3 linked regions of the Oreochromis niloticus genome follow. The protein of the gene in region 3 purifies or fractionates together with the protein of the main gene of each other region. This does not show direct contact. Links are inferred from orthologs where the notes say so. Each region holds a gene or a part of one and is shown on either strand. Other genes may lie near its edges.

The links.
Region 1: the proteins of lsm14ab (region 3) and c1qbp purify together in Homo sapiens (affinity purification with mass spectrometry; 3 studies listed by BioGRID and IntAct, with this or other methods). This does not show direct contact. The link is inferred for Oreochromis niloticus from reciprocal best matches to the Homo sapiens genes LSM14A and C1QBP.
Region 2: the proteins of lsm14ab (region 3) and eif4enif1 purify together in Homo sapiens (affinity purification with mass spectrometry; 3 studies listed by BioGRID and IntAct, with this or other methods). This does not show direct contact. The link is inferred for Oreochromis niloticus from reciprocal best matches to the Homo sapiens genes LSM14A and EIF4ENIF1.

Annotation. Positions count from the first base shown.
Region 1 is NC_031975.2:990,647-997,815, forward strand, and holds the start of c1qbp (complement component 1 Q subcomponent-binding protein, mitochondrial), read right to left. Parts: upstream 3,084-7,169; 5' UTR 2,937-3,083; coding exon 2,684-2,936; intron 2,047-2,683; coding exon 1,896-2,046; intron 1,817-1,895; coding exon 1,726-1,816; intron 568-1,725; coding exon 472-567; intron 380-471; coding exon 254-379; intron 154-253; coding exon 4-153; 3' UTR 1-3. Other genes in the region: ATP-dependent RNA helicase DHX33, read right to left, coding at 5,786-6,094, 6,443-6,529, 6,611-6,814, 6,912-7,039, 7,127-7,169.
Region 2 is NC_031970.2:16,090,697-16,097,794, forward strand, and holds the start of eif4enif1 (eukaryotic translation initiation factor 4E transporter), read left to right. Parts: upstream 1-4,074; 5' UTR 4,075-4,434; intron 4,435-4,686; exon of another isoform or gene 4,687-4,824; intron 4,825-4,970; exon of another isoform or gene 4,971-4,992; intron 4,993-5,070; 5' UTR 5,071-5,121; coding exon 5,122-5,214; intron 5,215-5,295; coding exon 5,296-5,369; intron 5,370-6,649; coding exon 6,650-6,777; intron 6,778-7,030; coding exon 7,031-7,098. Other genes in the region: protein SFI1 homolog, read right to left, coding at 1-43, 134-204, 320-481, 588-744, 2,247-2,349, 2,436-2,553, 2,651-2,745, 2,826-2,936 and 2 more. UniProt on the Homo sapiens protein: EIF4E-binding protein that regulates translation and stability of mRNAs in processing bodies (P-bodies). Plays a key role in P-bodies to coordinate the storage of translationally inactive mRNAs in the cytoplasm and prevent their degradation.
Region 3 is NC_031965.2:31,839,092-31,846,429, forward strand, and holds the start of lsm14ab (LSM14A mRNA processing body assembly factor b), read right to left. Parts: upstream 3,013-7,338; 5' UTR 2,798-3,012; coding exon 2,674-2,797; intron 2,069-2,673; coding exon 1,905-2,068; intron 1,083-1,904; coding exon 932-1,082; intron 137-931; coding exon 1-136. Other genes in the region: transcription initiation factor TFIID subunit 4, read left to right, coding at 5,030-6,446. UniProt on the Homo sapiens protein: Essential for formation of P-bodies, cytoplasmic structures that provide storage sites for translationally inactive mRNAs and protect them from degradation. Acts as a repressor of mRNA translation. May play a role in mitotic spindle assembly.

The sequences.
Region 1 (7,169 bases), on a different chromosome or scaffold from region 3:
AAGTTAATTACATTTGACAAAGCCTTGGAGGTCTTCCAGGAACTTGATGTACTCTTGATGCTCGATGGCCGTGCTCAGCTCCATGAGTTCATCGGCGAAGGTGTTGTCGACCCCACGGTCAGCCAGGAAGTCCATCAGATGGTCATACAGGGCCTGAGAAACAGTACCAGTAAGTAAGCAACCTTGAGCACAGCGCCACTTTCAGTGACCGTTATAATTGAGCTGTTGCTGTGTGTACTGCCTCGGCTCTCACCCAGTCCAAAGAGTCTGTGTTGAGTGTGTAGCTCGTCTCCTTCCACTCTGAATCTCCCTGTGGCTGAAAACTGACCTCTCGAATGGCAAAGATGTCGCTCTCCTCTTCTCCCTCACCGTGGCTTATCTACGAAATACAAATGCCTCATATTCATTTCACTATTGCGCACACTACTGCTGCTATCGGCAATATTAGACATTCGTTTTATTTGACTTTACCTCATCTTCAGGGAAATGGCAGTCGAACACCAGGGAATGTTTTGCAGCCTGCTTTGTCACTTCAACAACAAAGTTGGGTGTTGATACAATCTCCGGCTGCAAAAAAGGGGTAAAAAGCTTAATACACAAAATGTTGAGGTTAAAAACTTCAGTGTGTAAGCCAGTAGCCGCCTACGGTGCTGTGCAAGCCACCCTCGTTTCTTTAAGTGTTGTTAGGAAATTAGCAAATGGAGGAGCCGTTTATTGAAATGAGTGCAGACATATAAGAAAACAGTAAACAAATATGAAAACAGTGTATAAGACAAACTTAAGAGTTCATGCAGTTCTAACGAGTCTGAAAGTCAATATTTCGTCTTTATTCTTCAACTCAGCTTTTATCGCGTTTGACAAGCACGCTAACAGAGATGTTTTCCATCTCTTGGACTAACAAAATGCAGCCTCCACTGTGCTTTGCAGATGGTCGTAGCCTCTGTTTTCCCTCTCCTGACCTTTTCTGTACATACTATGATTTGAAAGGAAACCTTCACATTTAGATTCCTCACCAACGATCAATGGCTTCTTGAGAGGCAGCCTTTCACTGAGAACATTTCTGATGAGGTCTCAGTCACAGTAGATAAATGAACATCTCTTGTGTTCTCTGTCAAATCTTTGCTCTATTTTTTCATCCATTTCTTAAGGATTCAGCTTTCAGATACTCTTCATCTGCTGTAGATAGTTTAGGGCAGGGGTGTCCAACTCCAGGCCTCGAGAGCCAGTGATCCATCACAGCTGATTTAAATGGCTAAATGACCTCCTCAACATGTCTTGAAGTTCTCCAGAGGCCTGGTAATGAACTAATCATTTGATGCAGGATGATATCTAACACCTGCAGGACACCAGCCCTCGAGGCCTGGAGTTGGACACCCCTGGTTTAGGCCTACCACTTTTTGTCCAGTTTCCTCAGATTTTCTTAAAAGGCCATGTTGCACAACGTGCTGCAATGACAGCTCTTTGGGAATCAAAGTACAATGTTTAACCTGTCAAACTGTGTCCAACCATCGTTGGCGTATTTTTCACAGTTTCTACTAAAGAAATGTGAATAAATGTTTTTGTGACAGGCTGCTAGCAACAAAGAGCTTAAAGATACAATTTTAAGTTCTTTTCTAAATTGTCTGTTATGTGTAGACAACACTGATTCGTCCCTTGAGGGATATCTTTCCTAGGTGTCTTTGGTTATGCTTGAATAGTGTCTTCCAACCACTAGCTGTGCCTCACCTCCTCTTCTGCTGATTTCTGCTGTGTCTGTTCCACTTCTTCCTCAAAGTTGGGAGGAATGCTGTTGTTGATGTTGAATGTGACCGCGATTCTGTGAAGAGCAGAAATACCGTGAGCTTGTTTCACATGCCACACCGGCCACGTTTATCCAATCATTTTGGCAGACTTACTTTTCTCCAGAAACACTTCTTGTGAGTTTAGCCTCTGTGCCATTCATCTCCAGCTCCCATCCTCCCGACACCTTAGGAAGACTTTTGTTTTTCTGGATCTTCTTCTCTTCTTTGATTTCATCAGACAGGAAGTCACCAAAAGCTTTGTCACCTGAACAGAGAGTTTATGATTTCATCATGAGACGTGATGCACAGTTTGTTTAAAGGTTTACTTCTGACAATAAAATGAAAAACAAGGCTGATTCTAACATTTTACACAAAACACGAGTGCTTGTCAGTGCGCCCCAGGGTGGCTGTGGCTACAGTGTAGCTTGCCATCACCAGTGTGTGAATGTGTGTGTGAATGGGTGGATGACTGGATATGTAAAGCGCTTTGGGGTCCTTAGGGACTAGTAAAGCGCTATATAAATACAGGCCATTTACCAATACTTGTAAGACTGCTGAAAATGAAAGAAATCTGTTTTGTGGCTGTCTAAAGATGTCTCGTTGGATATTATGAACAGTCCTAGACGTGTCACGTGTGCTGAATGATCAAAGGCTATTGGCAGGTTTCAGAGCCTTTTTCAGTGACAACCACTAATCACAGTTTAAGGTGAAAGACTCCTTACAGTCTGAAGATGCTGATATGAACTCAGTCTATAACGATCGTTAAACATCTTTTTTTATCCCTTTAAACTGTAAAGGACGTGTTGGTTCTGGCAATACGAGTTGTCTGATCCATCTAATGTTAAGTTTATTGGTCTCGTAAGCTGGCTGGCTTGTTTAAAGGAGTTTACACCAAACGTCACCTTCTGTGTGCAGTCCTCCACATCCACACGACATCGACGGACTCAACACCTTGGAGCTGAAGAGTTTGGGCCTGTATCCAGACGAGGCTCCGTTATTATTTAGCATCCAGAGAGACCGGGTGAAGGGCCGAGTTACTGCCGAACTCGGAGAGCGCAGTGCCGGGTAGCTGAGGGGCAGAACTCGCGCTGCGGAGGTGCTGGCTGAAGAAAGGCGAGCAGCTGCTCCCACCGCACGGACGACTGACTTTAGCATGATTGTACAAAAACACCTGTCACGACAGAATAAATGAGTTCCGTGCCGCACAGCTCACTGTGAACACCGGTTACCGACGCTGCTTCTAGAAGACGCTGACAGCACGTGTGGAAGGACACATTGACCCAGATACTCTTTGCCCCGGAAGTAATACTCTAAAAGCGAAAGACACGAAATAGCAATTTTAAATTCTACATCAAAAACTACACCGAATACGACAAAATATTATAATAGAAAAAATAAATAAGATATAACCTAATTAAAGTTATTTGGAAAAATTACGTGTGTGTTGTAAATGATTGTCTACACATCAGCGCCCCCTGTAGTTCAAATCAGCGATAGCAGACCGGCGCTGCTATCTGTTTAAATTGGGGTTTTTCATGTCGTTTGTTCTGCGGAGCTTTTTACAGTGTGGCTACAAATCTGAAACACCGCGGACTTTAATAATACCTTTGCCTTCACGCTGTGACACTAAAACAGAAACTCTTAAAAATACATATGTAAGGAGATTAAAGTGCAAAAATATCTGTGTGCAGGGGCCCGATTTAATAGGACTTTGCTCCAGAGTTAAACCCCGTTTTGGCTTAAAAACTGTCAGGATTTAATAAAAAATCCCAGCCTCAGTTCTTTTACTGAAAAGCTTGGAGGGGTTTCTTTTGATTGGTGTACCGTAGTGCATTTGTACTGTATTTTCAGAGCGTGTGTGTGTGTACAGACATGATCGACTGAGGCCCCTAACGACGGGGTTGCATCAGTCAAAGTAAAACATCGACACTTCGGTGCAATGAGGCTGATCAGTTGCATCATGTGAATCCCTCCCGCCAGCAGATGGAGCTGCTTTCCAGTCTATGTGAGCCTGTCTATAATTAAACGGCAGCAGGGGAGATCCTGTTTTTCTGAATTGACTAAATGAACATAGTCAAACGTTTTGAGACACTTCTCATTTCTGTTTTGCTACTAAAATGGGAAATAAGTCCATTGATTCATTGAAACATAAACGCAAATACATGAGGCAAAAACAGAGTTTGAGCAATTCTAATGAGCTTGAAAGTCTGAAATATTTGGTATGAACACTTTTATTCTTCAGCACAGCCTAAACTCTCTTAGACAAGTCTTGTCATTTCTTTGAGTAGTCTTCAGGAAGAGTCGTCCAGTTGCGTGCTTTTCTGTCCAGGTCTACTTTTACTGCATTGGTAGAGTGTTTGTGACCAATATCATGCTAAATAACAAACAAACTGCTCTTCAGATAGTATGGTGGGTCAAAATCATAACTCCATCATAACACAAGAGCCCCTGGCGGAAATGTCAGTTTTGGCATTTTCCGTTGATTCAAATAAAGAAATGGGAGCAAATGATATAGTAACATAGCGCCTAAAGATATGACATGTTGTATGTGTAGACAACACTGGCTTCTCCCCCGGAGTTATGCAAAGTGCTGGCTGTGTTAAGAGACTTGAATGATAATTTTTTTTAAAAACCCAGAATGTTCCTTTGAAAATGTTCAGGACTGAAAATGAGTGAAAAAGCATCCAGCATCCAAAGAAGAAGAGCTTAGTCTGGAGAACTATTGCTCCAAAGCTCTTAAAGAATTCCAAAGGTCATCTACTTGGAAGCAAAATGTTTTTAAAAATGAGGTGGCTCAAGACTTTCGCACAGTCCTTAAACCATGCTATGGCCATAACACAATAATACTAAACACGTTAGAACTGCGACTGACTTGTGCCGACTCAGGTGGATTTGTTTTTATTAGAATATGTAACAAACATGGGCATGTATTAGGATCAGATGATCCACGCTCATAGATGAGCCCTGGCAGGCGTGCATTCGTTACAATAAACTTCATGCAGATCAGAAATGGCTCAACTTTTGATAATTCTCTAAAGCATTCAGCGTTTGACTACAAAGTTAGAAACTGTATACTTTATTCAGGTTATATTTTACAGTCCTGAGTCCAATGTGTAAAAAAAAGACAAGAGGACGCTCCATCATCAACACAACGTCATTTACATTCTACAAAGCGTGACGGAGCCGAGTGATCAGATCGCTGAACAGATTCTCCGTGCACTGCACATGTCTGCTGTTAGCAGGTACGTCTGGCAACTGTGTGGGGATCTGCGCGACAAACAGCAATGAGCAGAACCTGGAGAGGAAGGCATGCTACTTCTCCTGACGTGCGTGTATTTGGGGAAGAGACGGTGACATGACTGCAGATGGGAAAAGGAGCATGCACGAGCTAACGAGGCTAGTGCTGTATAAGTGAAACCATGTCAGTGTGACACACTGCATTTGTTTTTCATGTTTTCTTGTGAATAAGGGAACAGCTGAAAGTAGAGTAAAACAAATCTACTTTGATTGCATAAAGAAACCCCTGTAAGACCACTTCATGTAAACCCAAAACAATCAGAGTGCTTTTCTTAGCTTCGGAAAAGCTCATATTTTGGACTCGCAGCCACTAATCCGTCTGCTGGAGCGTTTTGATGGCTATTTGGTAGCAATGAAGAAGAACAACATGGTGGAAAACAGCCCCATGCTGTGCTCCTCTGAGGTTACCTGTGCTGTATAAATGCATGCAACTACTGAAAGAATCAAAGCAAGACACTTCAAAGCAAACTGGCTTTTCAGGCCAACCGTGTGGCTAAATGATGACAAGAAGAAATTACAGCTCGTAAAATCGGAATGACAGTCCAGAGGAAGTCAAACTTCGATATGCAGACTTCTGCTTCAGTGACAGATGCCCAATGCTTGTCAACTGGGAGGTAGTGAAATCCAGAGTAGTTTACGACACAGCAAACGTTCTGCACCAACTTGCAATAAGTGTGTTTGTGGCAGGTGGCCTGTTTCTTTGTTGGTTAGCTCTTGTTGAGGTGGAGCTTGCGGCCAAAGTACTCGGGCGCTGCATCCAGCAGCCAGTCGGCATCGACCAAACAGAGGTCTCTCATGTAGCAGCGGGAGGTGTGCAGCAGCTCGTTGAAGACTACGTATGCCGGCTTGGCCTGGAAAAGGACGGAGGACGGGTGGATGGCCACGGGCTGGTGGGTGTCTAGAGCCAAGTAGCTGCCATCGGGCTGCAGCTCTGCAGCGTTGACAAACATCCCGTGGGCAAGGCAGCGGCGAACGCTCGCCGTGTCTGCTCCACACGATTCCAGTTTCAGGTTCAGCTGGGAAAACAACAAGACGTGACTTAGTACACAGGTCGCATGAGTTCACCGCAGAGATGCACAAAGACAGGTGTGCAGCATCGATCAAAGCAGGAAAACACTCATTCATCAACCGGCACTCGCTGTTTTCAAAATAGCCCTGAGGCGTTAGCCTGTGTGATGATGCACATTCATAATAATACTGACACTGTCAGAATTTACACATTGTGTTCACTTTACTTTCAAAAGCATGGATATTATTCTCTAATGAGCTGCATTAAATGTTAATAAATCCTCTGTAGTTGATCAGGATAATCAGCGATTCCTGGGAGAATCCCTCTGTGCTAGCAGAGGTTAGCAGATGTGTACCTTAAGGCAGATTTCTTTAAGTTGTGCCTGGACTTCTTTCACTAGACCCATGTTCCTGCTGTTGACAAAGTTCTCCCGACACCACTCCTACAACAGCAGAGATCACGTGACAGCTCAGCAGCATGATTTCATTTATGTATTTTCATTAGTTGTGTTCATCGTACCCACCTTGTTACCGCTGACTTTCTTGAACGCTCTGTAAATGTTTAGCAGTGTCATGTGGTCTCCTTCACTGGACATGAACTTCTTGCGCACTGCAAGCACGTCGTCCCGCCGGGCCGGAGGGTTGTACAGCACGGTGTCCACAGACAGCAGCGACACGATGCTCAAAATCTCCTCAGAACACGAGTAGTCCGGGGACAGCAGGATGGTCTGCGGTGTGGAGCAAACAGAGGGGTTATCTGCTTGTGAGCCGACACTTTGTCTTTGCTAAAAAAAAAAAGATCAGAGCAGAACCAGCAGGATTTACTTTGGCATATCTGGGCTCCAGAGGGAAGCTCGCCATCTTCTTTCCCAGAGTGGTGAGGAAAACCTGCCCGTCCTTCTTTTCCACAGCTCCCAACAGCTCCAAATGATCCACAGCAGAACGGATGGCCTCTGGTGTAAAATACAAAGCACTACTACAGCTAACTCTGCATCGCGTACCGGAGGACCAGAGGTAAATCCTGACTGACAGCATCTTACCTGGAGAAGGTTTGGACATGAAATCAAAATTTGTCACGTCTGG
Region 2 (7,098 bases), on a different chromosome or scaffold from region 3:
TGTTCAACACGACATTAAGAGACAACCCTCGCAATCCAGCACGCTGCAATGAGAATGCGCTGTGATGAATACATGAATTGAACATGCTGATCTTTGCTTATGTGTGGGTTCTTTATTTTATTTATTTTTTTACCATTAAATGATGTTGGTAGTGTTGATTTGCTGCATGCTTTCTTTCAGTTTCTTCTCTGCACAATGCCACATCTACTGAAGAGCTCAAGAATCAAACAACAATGCCGATAAATTAAAACTGATTTAGTAGCAGGTAGAAAAACTAGTTTATCCAAGTTTTATCTATTCTACATGTGGATCAGGATACAAGCTCTCCAATGCACCAGTGCTGTGCATTGAATGCTCCGCGTGGCCAAACGGGCTGCTGCTTGCAAACGGGTCTCTTCACTGTGTTTGCGATCGAGAGCATTTCTCCATTTACTCCAACACCTCCTCACCAGGAGGCGAGAGCAGGCACGCTGAGCCAAAGCTGAAGGCGAAACACAAAAGAACAAAAAATAAAAATGTGTTAAGAGATAGCAAAATAATGATGCTTCAAGAATGGAAACAAAGCTGCGTGGGTATTCTATAATGACCTTGTGTTTCTGTCTTGGTGTGGCGATAGGACACATATCTCATCCACTGATGCAAAGCTCTTCTTTTCAATCTGGAGATAAAATGAAACGCAGCTCTGGATTCTTTCTCTTTCTGGCAAGAAGCAGCCGTATGCATCTCTTTCCACTGAAGCCAAGCCTTCAATACAAAATATATCAGGTGACCCATCACCAGAGAGAACACACAGGAGTAATGTACCTCAAGGTTCACTACTCTTTGGTTTTCTTTATACATTTGACCCCGGGAGCATGTCATCCATGGGCATAGTGTAAGTTGACAACCACCTCAGCTTAGATAAGCATTTCAATTCAGTTGTCCAGTCTTATTTTATGCTGCTTAGGCTCAGTAAGAGTTAGTTTTCACAGGATTGTAGTATAACTGAGCTATTTTCCCATTCCTGATTTCTTTTTATTTTTGCACATTTATCTCACTTAAATGTTTCAGATCAAATGTTAATATTAGATAAAAATAATTGAGGTTCATATGAAATGCACTTTTAAGTAATGATTTCATTTATCAAGGACAGAAATAATCCAAACCTACATGGCCCTGTGTGAAAAAGCAACTGCCCCCTAAATCTAATGACTGCTTGTGCCACCCCTGACAACAAGAACTAAAATCAGGTGTTTGCAATAACTGACAATGAGTCTTTCACATCCCTGTGGAGGAATCTTGGCCAACTCTTCTTTGCAGAATTATTTTAATTCAGTCGCACTGGTGCGTTTTGGATCATTGTTCTGCTGCATAGCCCAAGTGCGTCTGAATTTCAGAGCACGAACTGATGGCTGGACATTCTCGTTCAGGATTTTCTGGTAGAGAGCAGAATTCATGGTCCATCACAGAGTCACCACCATGTTTGACACCGTGTAATGTTTCTTTTATGAAATACTGTGTGAGTTTTATGCCAGATGTAACGGGACTCAAACCTTCCAAAGACAGATGGCGGTATGACGTAAATCTACTTGACTTCGTCTGACAGGTTCCATTTCCATTATTTCTTGATTCAACAGGTCTGCCTTGAATCAGGCCGAGGTGTGGCTATCAAAATTGAACTCAGCTTTCTAAAGAATGTGGTTAATCACAGTTAATTTAAAATTCAATAATAACAGATGAAATTATCACTTTATTATTGTTATTATTATTTTTTGTATTTCCTTGGGTCATCTTTATCTAATTAGTTTGACAGATTGGAACAGCCTAACTGAGTAGATCAGATTGCAGAGCTTACTATCATCTTTTAAATCTCTCTTAAAGACATACTTTGATGATCAGGTTTTTACTGTGCCTCTGCTTTGAAGTGAATGTTGTCCTTCATAATTTTTTCTTGGTGATAATTTTTTTATTTAGTCTAATTTTTCATAAATGCTTTTAATTTACATGTTTATAATTTTAGTTGTCTTTATCTTTATAAAGATAAGATAAAATTCGTCTTTATCTACTGCCTTTGAACTTCTTCTACTGTCAGCGTTCCTACACTTTATGTTGTTTCACTTTTAATTCTTCTTAAACATTTTGTAGTTTGTCACTTGGTTTTGAAAGGTGCAGTATTGAAAAAAAGTTATTCTTGTTATTTTTATTATTACTATTAATAATAATAATATTAACATGTGATTCACAGGGGTGTTCGATCATGCCCTTACCCTTTTCTTTAAGGTTAGCGCCCTCTGTTTCTGTGCTTGAACCTCCAAAACGTGAAGGTCTCGACGGTGCTGTAATCTAGTCTGCCACAAGCTCCACACTGAGCTGCAAAACAAAAACAATGGTAAAATCAATATTATGGTAAAAATCATAATGCTACAAGTTTTCATTTGATAACACAAAAATCTCACTGCATAGCTGAGAGCCTGTACTGCTCAAGAGCTGATTCCAGCCTTCTGCTCTTCAGTCTTCTCATCTCTGTGAAAACCTCCCATCTGTCCAACAGCAGACGCATCCGCTGGTTGTCAGCTGATGATAGAAACAAAGTGGGTGATGACACATCAGTGAATTATAAAATCTGACAAACCCCCCCCCCAACATTAGGCTTGAATGGTAAAAGTCACACCAAATGACTGAGCCTTTTGCTGTTGCATCTTCTTTTCCCTCTGCAAACACACAAACATTCGCCAGCTGCGGAGAGTCCAGTTGCACAGGTAATACCTGAAATAAAAGCAGCATGAACACATGAACAGACTTCAGTGAATCAACTATAAAAGTCTTCTATAATGTACTGTAATGACCTGTAGTGACAGTCTGCTCGCATGTTCAGACTCCACTCCCTCCTGGATGACCACCACTCATCTCTCCATCCTTCAAAGGTTCTTCTCAGTACCACTCTGTTATAGTGCGACCTGGAAAACACTGGAATTAGTGAGCAGGTAGGAAAACGAGGGCAACCAAATGGTAAACTTGAAAATGCTTTCAATTTCCAAACAAATGAAACACGTTACTTTGCTTCATGAGGAAGAACTCGGCCAAAGGTGTTCTGTATCCATATCTTCAGAAACTTTCTTGCAAGGTGCCTGCAGAAGTTAAAAGAATGGAGACTTAATTTTCAAGAAGACAGTAACATGATAACAGTGGGTCAAGGAATAGTCTCAGCACCTTATTCTCAGCTCCTTGAGTCTTCCACCTTTGTTCCAGGTGTATCCAACTCTGTAAGCGACCTTTCTGATGTGAACTTTGCGCACTTGTTTTGCTTCACCACGAGATCTGACATAGTTTAAACGGGGTCTTACTGGATCCGAGTTTCCGCCGATACTTTGCATTTTTCAAGCCGCTATTATACAGAGCACCGAATCGCATCACTTCTCAAATACAAGCATCAAAGCATCCGCATTTTACACTTTGAAGGCTGTTGTAGCTTACATGATAAAATTACCTTAATTTATCCTCACGTTAAAACTCTTTACAAAGTGCCGCGCGTTTGTTTTTCCTTATCACGTGACCACTTGGTGTCTTCGATACACAGTTGTCAACAACAACAACCTCTGCTGCCGGTCTGTGGAGACCACACTAAACTGGTTGTGGTAGTTATAAGAGTCACGGTCTGCTTAATAAACTTTTCAATATGGGGTGGTGTTTTTCATACACCTCCCTCTACAACAGTTTAAACTCTGAAATGTTTACTTCACACAGGAAGAACGTACTTAAGGTCCCCTCAGTTTAACGACGATGACACGAAATGTCAGTCGTGGACTGCCCGCGAGGACGGGGTCTTTATTTTCATAAGGACCATCAGGAGACCGGCGGTGGAGAATCACAAATCAAGCGAATCCTGAGACAAAATATGGCTGTCTCTAATAATGCCTGTCACGTGCCTTTTACCGTAGTATAAAAAAAATCACTACAAAGCAATTTACATTTTCAATATTTTATATACATACGTATAAACCAATTTATTTTGAAATTAATTTTCATATATTGGTTTAGATTTTAAAATAATTATCGCCAACGCACACCTGCCAATTTAAATTTTTACAAAGGCGCGCTGGGCACGGCGTAATCTTTGCCAGGACCTTCTTAAAGCGGTGATCAGAGGAAAATTGCTGCTACGACTTAGAAAACAGAGAAAGAGAAGACTATTATTTGAGATTTCACCGGTTCCGTGTGATTTAATTTGTTGTTTTGAACCAGTCTTATTGTGTTAGGTTACCCCTCTATAGTGTGTGCTCCCTGAAATCACAGCGACAACTCTACCGGCTCACGATTTGGTGCTCGCTGGGTGGGCATTTATCCCCAGTCCCCCAGCTAGTTAGCTAGCTCAAAGTGCTAGGCTAGGCTAGCCAGCTAACTAACGTGATCAGCTCGGCCGTTAGCGACCGGCATTCCGCACAGCATTCAAACTGAGTAAGTTTGTCTTTTGCCAAAATTTGACTTGCAAGTCGGTTGTCTACACAACTTTTGTGCCACGAATTCGCCTTATGGTTAACTGTGTGGGACGCTACCATCGTTTGGCTAACCCTGTGTCAATCTCTTGGCTAACTAGTAGCGTTTATTTCCTAAAGCTGAAATGATGAGGAATGTTTTGTATTAAAATGTTTACATGTCTTTAACTCGCTGGATCCTTTCATTGCAGAACGGCTTCGTTTACAACTCAAATGCGATACCCAATTAGTAAATTGATGTAAGCGCTTTGTAATATAATGACCTGTCAGTTCTCAGCTGCTGTCAATTAAATTGCTAATTAGCCAGCAACAACCTGAGACTCTAGAGTTGTTTTTTAACTGCCCGGTGCAGGTAAGCTTCATGAGAGTTCAAGTTTTTCTTCACGGCAACTTTTCTGTAATCTTGTTTTCTCGTGCTGCCTAGTTTAAGATGGCAATACATCTGATATATTTTGCAGCAACAGAAGGAAGCAGGGTTTTTTTTGTTTTAATCTTCGGAACATGCGTCCTTTCATTTGAAGTAATTGGCCTTTAAGACTGTATTTAGTGGCCGTAGTCGAGTATAATTGACTTGTAAATGTTAACTTGTCATCCACAGGTGTAGAGTCATTGGTGGCTGAGACACTGTCTGCTCTGTCTGAAATCCATCATGGAGAAAGATGCCTGTGTAGAGCCTAAGAATGGTGACGCTGCTGTCGACCAGCCTAAGCCGGCAGCCACAGCTCCTTACAGATACACTAAGGTGACAAAATGCCAGCTGTGTCATTGTTTATCAAATTTAGATGTTGCTGTGAATTAAACTAGACTATCAATTTATTTGCAGGAGGAGCTTTTGGAAATCAAAGCGCTGCCAATCTCCAATGAAAGGCCTGAATGTCTCTCTGAGAAATATGACAGGTATGAATTTGTGTAAAAGTCACATTGGGTAATACTGGACAGGAGGTTATGCTTTTCAAATGAGAAAGCATGGGTGAATTCTAGTAAGGAAAAGTACTAGTATTTCTCTATGCTGTGAAATACTGATTTTTGGCACAGATCAACAGTTCTTCAATTGTATTTGTTGCTGGAACTGAAGTGTATGTGATCAAAAGTTACTTTGATTAAACAAGGTTAAGCAGAAGAGTTTCTATACAAATATGTTCACTGTCTTGAAACTAAAATTTGCATAAAGTTTGTAATAATCATTGACATAGTTTAACTGTCCAGAAGACTTGCTCCTGCTTTTTGGAATTCACATGCACTTCCAGCTTGTCTCTTGCTCGGAGCTTATTTAAATTCCTTGGGGTAATTCTTAAACAACAGTCAAAGATTTGTTCAGATGTCTGCTTGAGAAGCAAAACAAACGCTTGCACTAGAAGACTTGTATCTTTGTCCAATAGCTGTTGGAGCCAGGAACAGTAGCTATGACTATATGAGAAGTGGGCTCATTAAAGGGTGGGTCAAGCGGTTTTGGGTGGGGGGGTGGGGGGGTATTTTTAATCCTAAAAAAGACCTCTTTACCCCTTCAAAGCCTACTAGGAGTTGCCCTCGAAGATCTTTTCTGAACTGAGCAGTTTGTCATTATTTTTTAGATCTGCTTATGTTTGCATCCGTTAGTGAGGTAAGGTGTGAGAGTGGTCTCTGCCTAGGCAGCTACCCTTGCTAAAACCTGCAAACAATTTTAGTTGTCATCCAATCACATCTTTATTGATGGATACTGAGGTGTCAGAACTCGTCATTAAGTGTAATGTCTTTATGGGAGAGAGTTAATGAATGACTTCAGATTTTGAAGACATGTACTTAAAATGTGATTTGTCTCAACTGTTGGAAAAATTGTTTATAGTAGTCTGTCATCAGAGTTAAACACTGCTAGTGCAACAGTATCAATTAGTTTATTATTTTGAGGATCTGATTTTATTGCACCCTCTTTTTGGGTTGTATTCTGTGCTCACAGCATAAAGGTTGAAATGGATGGCCTGACCTGTGTATTGTATTTTTGCCCATGCCTATCTTTACTTTACTCATCACAGTAGTCTTGTAATACTCAAATATAAATGTTAAACTTTCAAGATGCAGGAATTGTATCTTTCATTGTTGCTCTTTATTTATTTTTTCCTAAACAGGATCCCAGTTGAGGCTGTAGTTGTCTCTTTATTTGAAATTTATGGGTGGCTTTTTTGTTTGTTTGTTTTAAACAGTGATGGTGTCTGGGACCCTGAGAAATGGCATGCCTCACTATATCCCACTTCAGAGCGAAGCTCACCTGTGGAAGGTTTTAAGAAGGACTACATGGATGACAGAGTTCCATTAAAACGAAGAATCCCAGGTAAATAATTACTGATGGTAGATGGTTATCCTTTCATCTTTGCGTTTCATAACAATGTTGTCTAGAAACTTAACTGTGCTCTGATCAATGAATGTTTAGGATTTTAGGTTCCAGTCTTGCACAAGATTTCTAAACTGCTGCAGTGGAATTGTTCATGTAGTCTATGTACTCCATAAAACAGTTGTTGTTGTTGTTATTATTATTATTATTATTATTATTATTTGGGGTGTGTGTTTCCCTCCCTGTTTTTTAGATCCCCGTGAGCGGTTAAAGGAGGATGACCTGGATGTAGTACTGAGCCCACAGCGACGTAGCTTTGGA
Region 3 (7,338 bases):
GAAGCTGCCGCCGCCCCTGTCTGACTCCGCTGTCCTACAGGTGCAGGTGGAGCTGGGGCAGCTGATGGTGGGGCCTGCACTGCCTGTTCCAGGGTGGGACTCTTTCTTATAGAATCCAGCTGGGGACTAGTGCGTCCTGCAAACAAACAAACAGCAATTAAAAGCTGTTCCAAAGTAGCTGCTCTTATGGGAAAAAAAAAATTTCACATTAAAAGTGTTGAGTGAAAAACATACTGTCCATTAAAGTCCTGCTTGTGCAGGACTTCACAGTGTAAGCATTTTACTTGTATTTGTAATAGATTTGTGTCCAATGTAAAACATTTTTGGAGTATTTGTGAGTAAAAGTAACATTCAGCCCAATCTACTTAAAAATTTAATACACAGTAGCAGTGAAGATGATTCTGTCAGAGCTGAATGATAAGCTTCAGCTACTCACAGACTTCCATGTTACTGGCAGTGGATGACACAGATGTTCACTGACAAAAAGGTAAAAATCGAATCTGTACATTTAGAGAGAAAATTTGACATGTGTCTTTTATACATGACCTCTCCTTTGAACACTTTAAAAAAGGTCCAGGCTTCACCAGTTTATTAGAAGTATGACGCAAAACTGTCTTTTCTGTTTCCAGTTCAAAACACAATAGGGACCAGGTGTGTAGCAGGAAACTCAAAGCAGTGTGCAGCTGTGATCTATTCAAATGAGCAGGAATCAGGTGTTGCTCCAAATTTGCTTGAGAAACAGATGTTTAGCTTACAATAATATTGTTTAATTGTCTGAGGTCACTACGTAGCATTTAGACAGATATGAGCAATGAATGATTTAACTTCATCTGCTACATTTCACACCATCCATAAAAGAGGGTTTGGACAGCCTTGAACAACCTAATGCTTTTTAATGTGGCTGACTTGCTTATTTCACACAGCTCCTTACCAACTGCTCCAGTAGATCCAAACTGTTGAGAACCAATGGGTGCAACACCAAACTGGCTGTATGATGGGGCAGGAGCCCTGCTGAAAGGTGCATAGGACCCAGGAGCCTGGAATGATGGAGGTGCTGCACCACTTGAGGATCCAATTGATGACTAGACAAACAAATATGCATCCAGTTGAAAACATTACAAGATTTTTAAACATAGCTGTTAACTATGACTGAAAATACTAAGATACAATTATAAAAGGTCTGATGCCTACATTTCAAAACAACAAATAACGCAAAACGAATGTGAAACTGTAGTTAGGACACAAAGCTGTTAATAAACCAATGCACGTCTTAGAAAGTGTTATCTATCTAGAAGATAGATAAGATACCATATCTAGAAGGGAAAAAAAGCCAGACTCTACTTTGAATACACTTTATTTTAACCGACTCCTTTGTTTGTGAATCTGGTTTTCAGGGCTTCTACAACAAGTAGCAGCCCTTTATTTTTTTTGTTGCTTCCTGTATTTTCTAATTGGCTTCTTTCATTTTCTTAAAATGGGCAATAATTAAAAACATTGATAATCACTTATTTTCTGTAACAAAGAAAGAAAAAGCAGTAATACAATAGTTGTCACTTTTCTACCTGAATTTCTTTATAGGTGATCCTTGTAATACAGGTGTTAGAAATAATGTTAACGATGGCCCTACAGCAAAGTTTCTTTAAAGCAAGCTTTGCAACTCACAGAATGCCTCTAGGCAATTATTTCAGTAATAATTCTGAATAGTTATCTCAATTGCTATTATTTAATTATTATAAAATCACACACACACAAACTCCACATACATAATAATTAGTCAGTGTCTCTCCCTTATAATGCCTCAATAAAGCCATGCCTGTGCAACCATGAGCCAGAATACAAGAGCCCTAAAGAAAAGCCTTTACACAGCTGTTTTATAGTAATGGAATGCACGCCAACTGACTTACTTGAACTATAGCAGGGTCCTGCGGCAGGGCACTGGTGGCTTTTGGTGGCTCACAAACCGTTAGGTCTTTAATATCACTTCCTCGGAAGATGATGTACTCAAAGACCTCATCCCGAGGAGGAATAGGCCTGTCAGTGGGCCGATCCTCAGTGCCAAAGGAGCGCACTGTAGGGAAAATTCACAGGTTAATTTACACGACTTTACTTTTTTTGTATTATTAAGGAAGAGAATATCCTTGCGTTAAGAACAGACACTGTTGACTTCACATTACCTGTCAATGTTAGAACTGAATATTATGAATTTGCGTTGGAATACAGACGAAAGAAAACAGACCCTTCAAGTTATATCAATTTTTGTTAACCACATTATTCAACATAATAAACTCCACACAATATGAGCACTTGAGATGAAGTTATTACTCTTCCCATACGCACAGCCCACCAGGTCTAAGCGATACTGTCAGTCAAAGTATTATAATCAGAGTTTCTAAAACGCATGTTAAAAAATAAACACTAAAAAGAGCCAATAAGCCGCAACTAGTGCTTTAACAAGGTATGCCTGGTGGTAAGTATGTGTCACTTGGTGCACAGCATTTGACTTTACCACAATTACAACGTAAACAAAGGACTACAGCGCTTAACTATAGCGCCACTTAGCTCTGTTGGCTAACTAAAAAGCTAACCAACAAAGCTAAATACGCTAAAAAATACTGTTTTCCTTCGCTTAACACTTTTACGCTCTTTGAGTCTTCTCTGCGTGCCTTAACTTACCTTTAGCGAGAGCTACAGTCGAGTTTTCTGTGTCAATCGTGTACAAAATTCCTTCATAGCGGATCTCGGCCTTGGAGATGAGGCTAATTTTGCTGCCGAGGTACGGTGTCCCTCCTCCGCTCATCTTCGTCCTTTAACTTTATTTACACACGTACTTCCAAAGAAAACGTTTTGTGTCACACGAGACGTCGGATGCGTTATTTTCAGACCTGCAGTTCTCAGACTACATAACATATATCGTCAAACGACACTGAATCTCACTCGCCCGCTCGCAACTGATCTCTACCACGACATGGCCGTTTTCATTTTCCTTCCCCTGCCGCAAAGGATATTGGGAGATAGGTAGCGGCCTAGTCAACTAAAGTCGCCTCCTTTTCCTCTTCCGTCCCTTCCACTGTTGCCTTTGCTTAAAAATAGAAACGAATGATGTGACAAATATATTTTTAGCTGTACTAACATTTTTGATGCAGTTTGGACTTTTATTTTGTAATTATCATTATAATATTTCCTCAAAGGGACTAACTAAGTCACTAAATAAGGATACTTAATACAGGTTTGAGATTTAGCCACAAAAAATCTCGCGATATTACACGAGATTACATCCAGAGAAGGTTTAGAGCAGAAAATTTCGCAGCCATTAAACAGTCTAAATTTTTTACGTGTCTCCCACAGCTCTCATGACGCTGTCCCTGCAAGGCACTAATTTTAAATAAAAAATAATAACAACGGTTATTTTCATTTTAGTGTGAATGTTTTTAGGCAGAGGCTTCTGAGCAGTTATAGTTAGGCTAACTCAAACTAAATACTAATTGTGAAAACATTTTTAGTTAACCACAAATAAGTAAATAACTAAATAACTAGATTTCTGAAAATAATCAGAATAAAATAGCTAATATAAAATAAAAAACAAACAAACAAACAAAAAAACCCAAAGGAAATGTCTTTAGCTTTAGCGTTTGCTATTATGCCAATAAAACTAAATAGAATAGACTAAATAGAACTTACATAAACTAAAGTCAAAATATTTAGAAAACAGACAATATTAACTCATCAAAATGTTATTCCTTGGCCAAACAAATTCATAGTAATGTCGTGGTGATGTAATGTTGCAGTGTTGTGATTTATATTAAAAAATAATGCTTTCATTGAAGTTATTTAACGTTACTTATTGTGTGTTTTGCCTTGTTTTGCCAGAACATAAACTGTAGCTATAACTGTACAAAATGTACAAACATTGCAAAAAATGATAAGAAAAAAACTCCATAATTATTGCTAATAATATTATTTTTTTTAGTATTTTACTTTAAATATTACTGTACTTTTTACTAATATTAATGTACTGTACTTAATACAATATACAACTTATTACAATCTTTCAACATACAACAATCAAATACAGCTACCATAAAGTTTTTAAAATTATTATTGTCATTGTTGTTGTTATTTTAACTGCTATAAAAAAGTATTCCCAATTATTCCTGATCAAAATCTCGTCGTCAGAATAGACCAGTGTATTATTCTTTTCTCATAATGCCATTTCATTTCAACCCTGCACGGCCTTGCTATGTTGAGCCAGATTGAGAAATCTCATATTTATTATTAATATTTATTATCTTATTTTAAGACATTTTAAGCTATTTTTTGTATGTTGGATTAAAGACATTTTAATTTAATTTAATACTTCATATTTTTATTTTGTCATATTTTACCTAATTGTATTTTTTTCATATTAGTTATTGCCACATTTCCTTTTATTTGATTTAAGATACAATCCTAATGATTTAGGCTATTATTTTACAGATTGTGTTAACTTCATTTTTAACTGCTGTAAAAAAGTAATTTACTAACTGTATGGATAATAAATGATATATTTCCCATCTGACCTTTTGCAAAAGATGCACAGACAAAGGGAAAAAACAATATCAAAATCAGACCTAATAATTATATAACTTCTGAATAAATGCTTTGTTTCAGATCTATTTTATGTATTCATTAACTTAGTAGCTTTATGTACATTATAACTGTCTTATATCGTTTTAAAATAATCTTTGCTTATTTCTTGAACATTTTTTTCTCATCTATATATGATTTTCTTTAAATATGGTCACAGCTCCTCATATTTTACTTTGGGATGGCGGTGTAACTGCACGGTACTTAGTATGATTACTAATTAATACTCCATGAAGGTAACACATAATAAACAGGATACAATAATCACAGACTTACGGCTACACCTAGGACGCCCCTTCCTCCATTTATACCCCCCTTGTTTAATGACGTCAGATCCATTCCCACAATGCCTAGTAACACGCAGGCGCATTGTAAAAAAATAGAAGACGGCTATCTGTGACCAGAGATGGCGGGCGCCTCCGACCCCCTGGAAGATATGCTCTTTTCGGAGGTGGATGAAAAAGCTGTGAGCGACCTAGTGGGCTCATTGGAGTCACAGCTTGCTGGACAAAGCAACCCGGCTGGTAAAGCAGACGAAAACGGAGGCGCTGGCTCTGTGGCCCCCTCTAACCATCACTTAGGAAAAACGCTACCAGCTCCAGTGAGCACCACAACACTAGAACAACAACAACAACAACAAGGACGCCGAAATAAAACTGAGATGCGCCAGGAGATCAACTCTAAAGACGTTAGCCCGGATAAGACTGTCACATCTCCTTCACCGGGCTGCAGCCCTTCTTTTGGCGAGCCTTCCACCACTTCGGGTGCCTGTGTGAGCGCCACTAGCAGCGGCTCGCAATCACATGGAGCATCCATCACAACACTGACTGCATCTGGTGTGTCAACTTTGGCATCTTCGCCGCCAGCCAGCATCAGCACCACTACATCCAGCCGGGGCTCTAAAGTTACCGTGGGCACAGGCGAGACGTCGACGGGAGCAACCCCGCCGAGAAAACGCATAACGACGCCGCGGAGGAGCGCTTCGGCGCGGATAAAGAGTTTGAACGGCGCAGCTGTAACAACGCGGAGGAACAGCAACACGGCGGTGGTCGACAACGTTAGCCCAGTGGATACGAGTGCAAGTACACCAAACTGTGGACGACCCGTCACAACCTCTATTAACACTTCGACGTTCACCTTATCCAACGCGAGCCTGCCTGTGGGTCAGTCGGCTATTGCTCTCGACAGGGGGACTCCTACTATTGCTTTGCATAGACTCCCGAGTCATATTGTTGCCAGTATAGCCCAGAACGGCAACGGGACCAGTGTTTCGGCCTTGGTCCAGCAGGGTGCTCGTATAGGACCCGTTACCTCTTCAGCTTCCCCGGGGAACCAAACCAAAATGGTCACAGACACTGGGGCTTCCAAAACAGACGACTGTCAGTCCAAAATTGTAATGTTAACCCAGTCTAGCGGTGTCAACTCTGTAGTAAATACTGTTTCCACTTCCTCTCCTCCTCTTCCTCCTCCTTCTTCTACTTCTTCTTCGTCTATTGTCACACCACCAACAACTACTACAGCTGCAGCAACAACAACAATAACAATAACTCAGCCTCTGAGCTCCATCACACCTGCTGCGTGTGTTACAGGGATGGCAACTATTTCAGCATGTGGAGCTGGTCAGACCACATCAGTGACCACCACTATTACTATGGTTAGGCCAACAGCTCCCTCTCCAACACCTGCTGTGGCTACATCTGCACAGTCGCAACCCCGTCCTGGACTTACAGCACCACAAAGGATTGTAACCCCCCAACTGATTGTCAGACCGCCTCAGCAGCAGACCACCATTCAGCTGCCCCCTGGGTTTACCATCCCACAAGGTAAGGTTAGCAGGAGGGCTAACAACCAAGTCAGAGGATCCTGGTTGTGGTTGTTAAAAGGGCTCAGTGTGTGTTGGACTCTCCCATAATAGAAGATTGTGTGTGACATCCTCCGGATTTTCCCTGGCTCAAAATAAGCCTTTGGGCATGAATAATCTACATATATGTATGGCAAGAAGTGTTGTACCTTACATAACAGAAGTTTGTGGATTTTTCATGTTATTTCTGATCATTTACTAAATAAAACTGTGTTTTATGTTTGATTAAATGTTTAAGTAAAACATTTTCATTACAGTCCTGGTGATTTTCATTTACACAACGGTCAAAATATCTTTTTTTTGTAAACAGGAAAAACCCTGATTTTCTTGTTTGGTTTGTTTGTTTGTAATTGGGGAAAAAATGAGAAAACTGAGAGGAAAAAGACAGAAATCAAGGTATTTATACAGATAGATGCAATAAGCACACACACCTTGTGTTTGTGGTAAATCTAGAGCAAAAAACATCAGTTTAAATGTTTATTTATGCAGGATAATAATAGCACACTGTGAAGATGAGTAGAATCACAAAAGACCTCTAAGGAAACTTTGGGAGGCACGGAGAAATGCTTTGGGCAGCTCCAGTGTGCAGACAGTAGCCACTGATGCTTTGAGACAGCAATATGTTGTCAAAAAATATTTGAGTAGATATTGGTTTTTTTTTATGTAGCTAACTTTTGTTATTACAACAACAATTCAGTGGGCCAGGATTCCAGTAGTTCAAATTATAGCTTACCCAATAGATGAGCCATATTTGTAGTCCTAATTTAGCTGTTATATTTAAAACATTGTAATCTCCATAGAAGCTCATATTCTGTAATTGTAAAAGGGCAGGTAATAACAGAGGACAGTGGTCA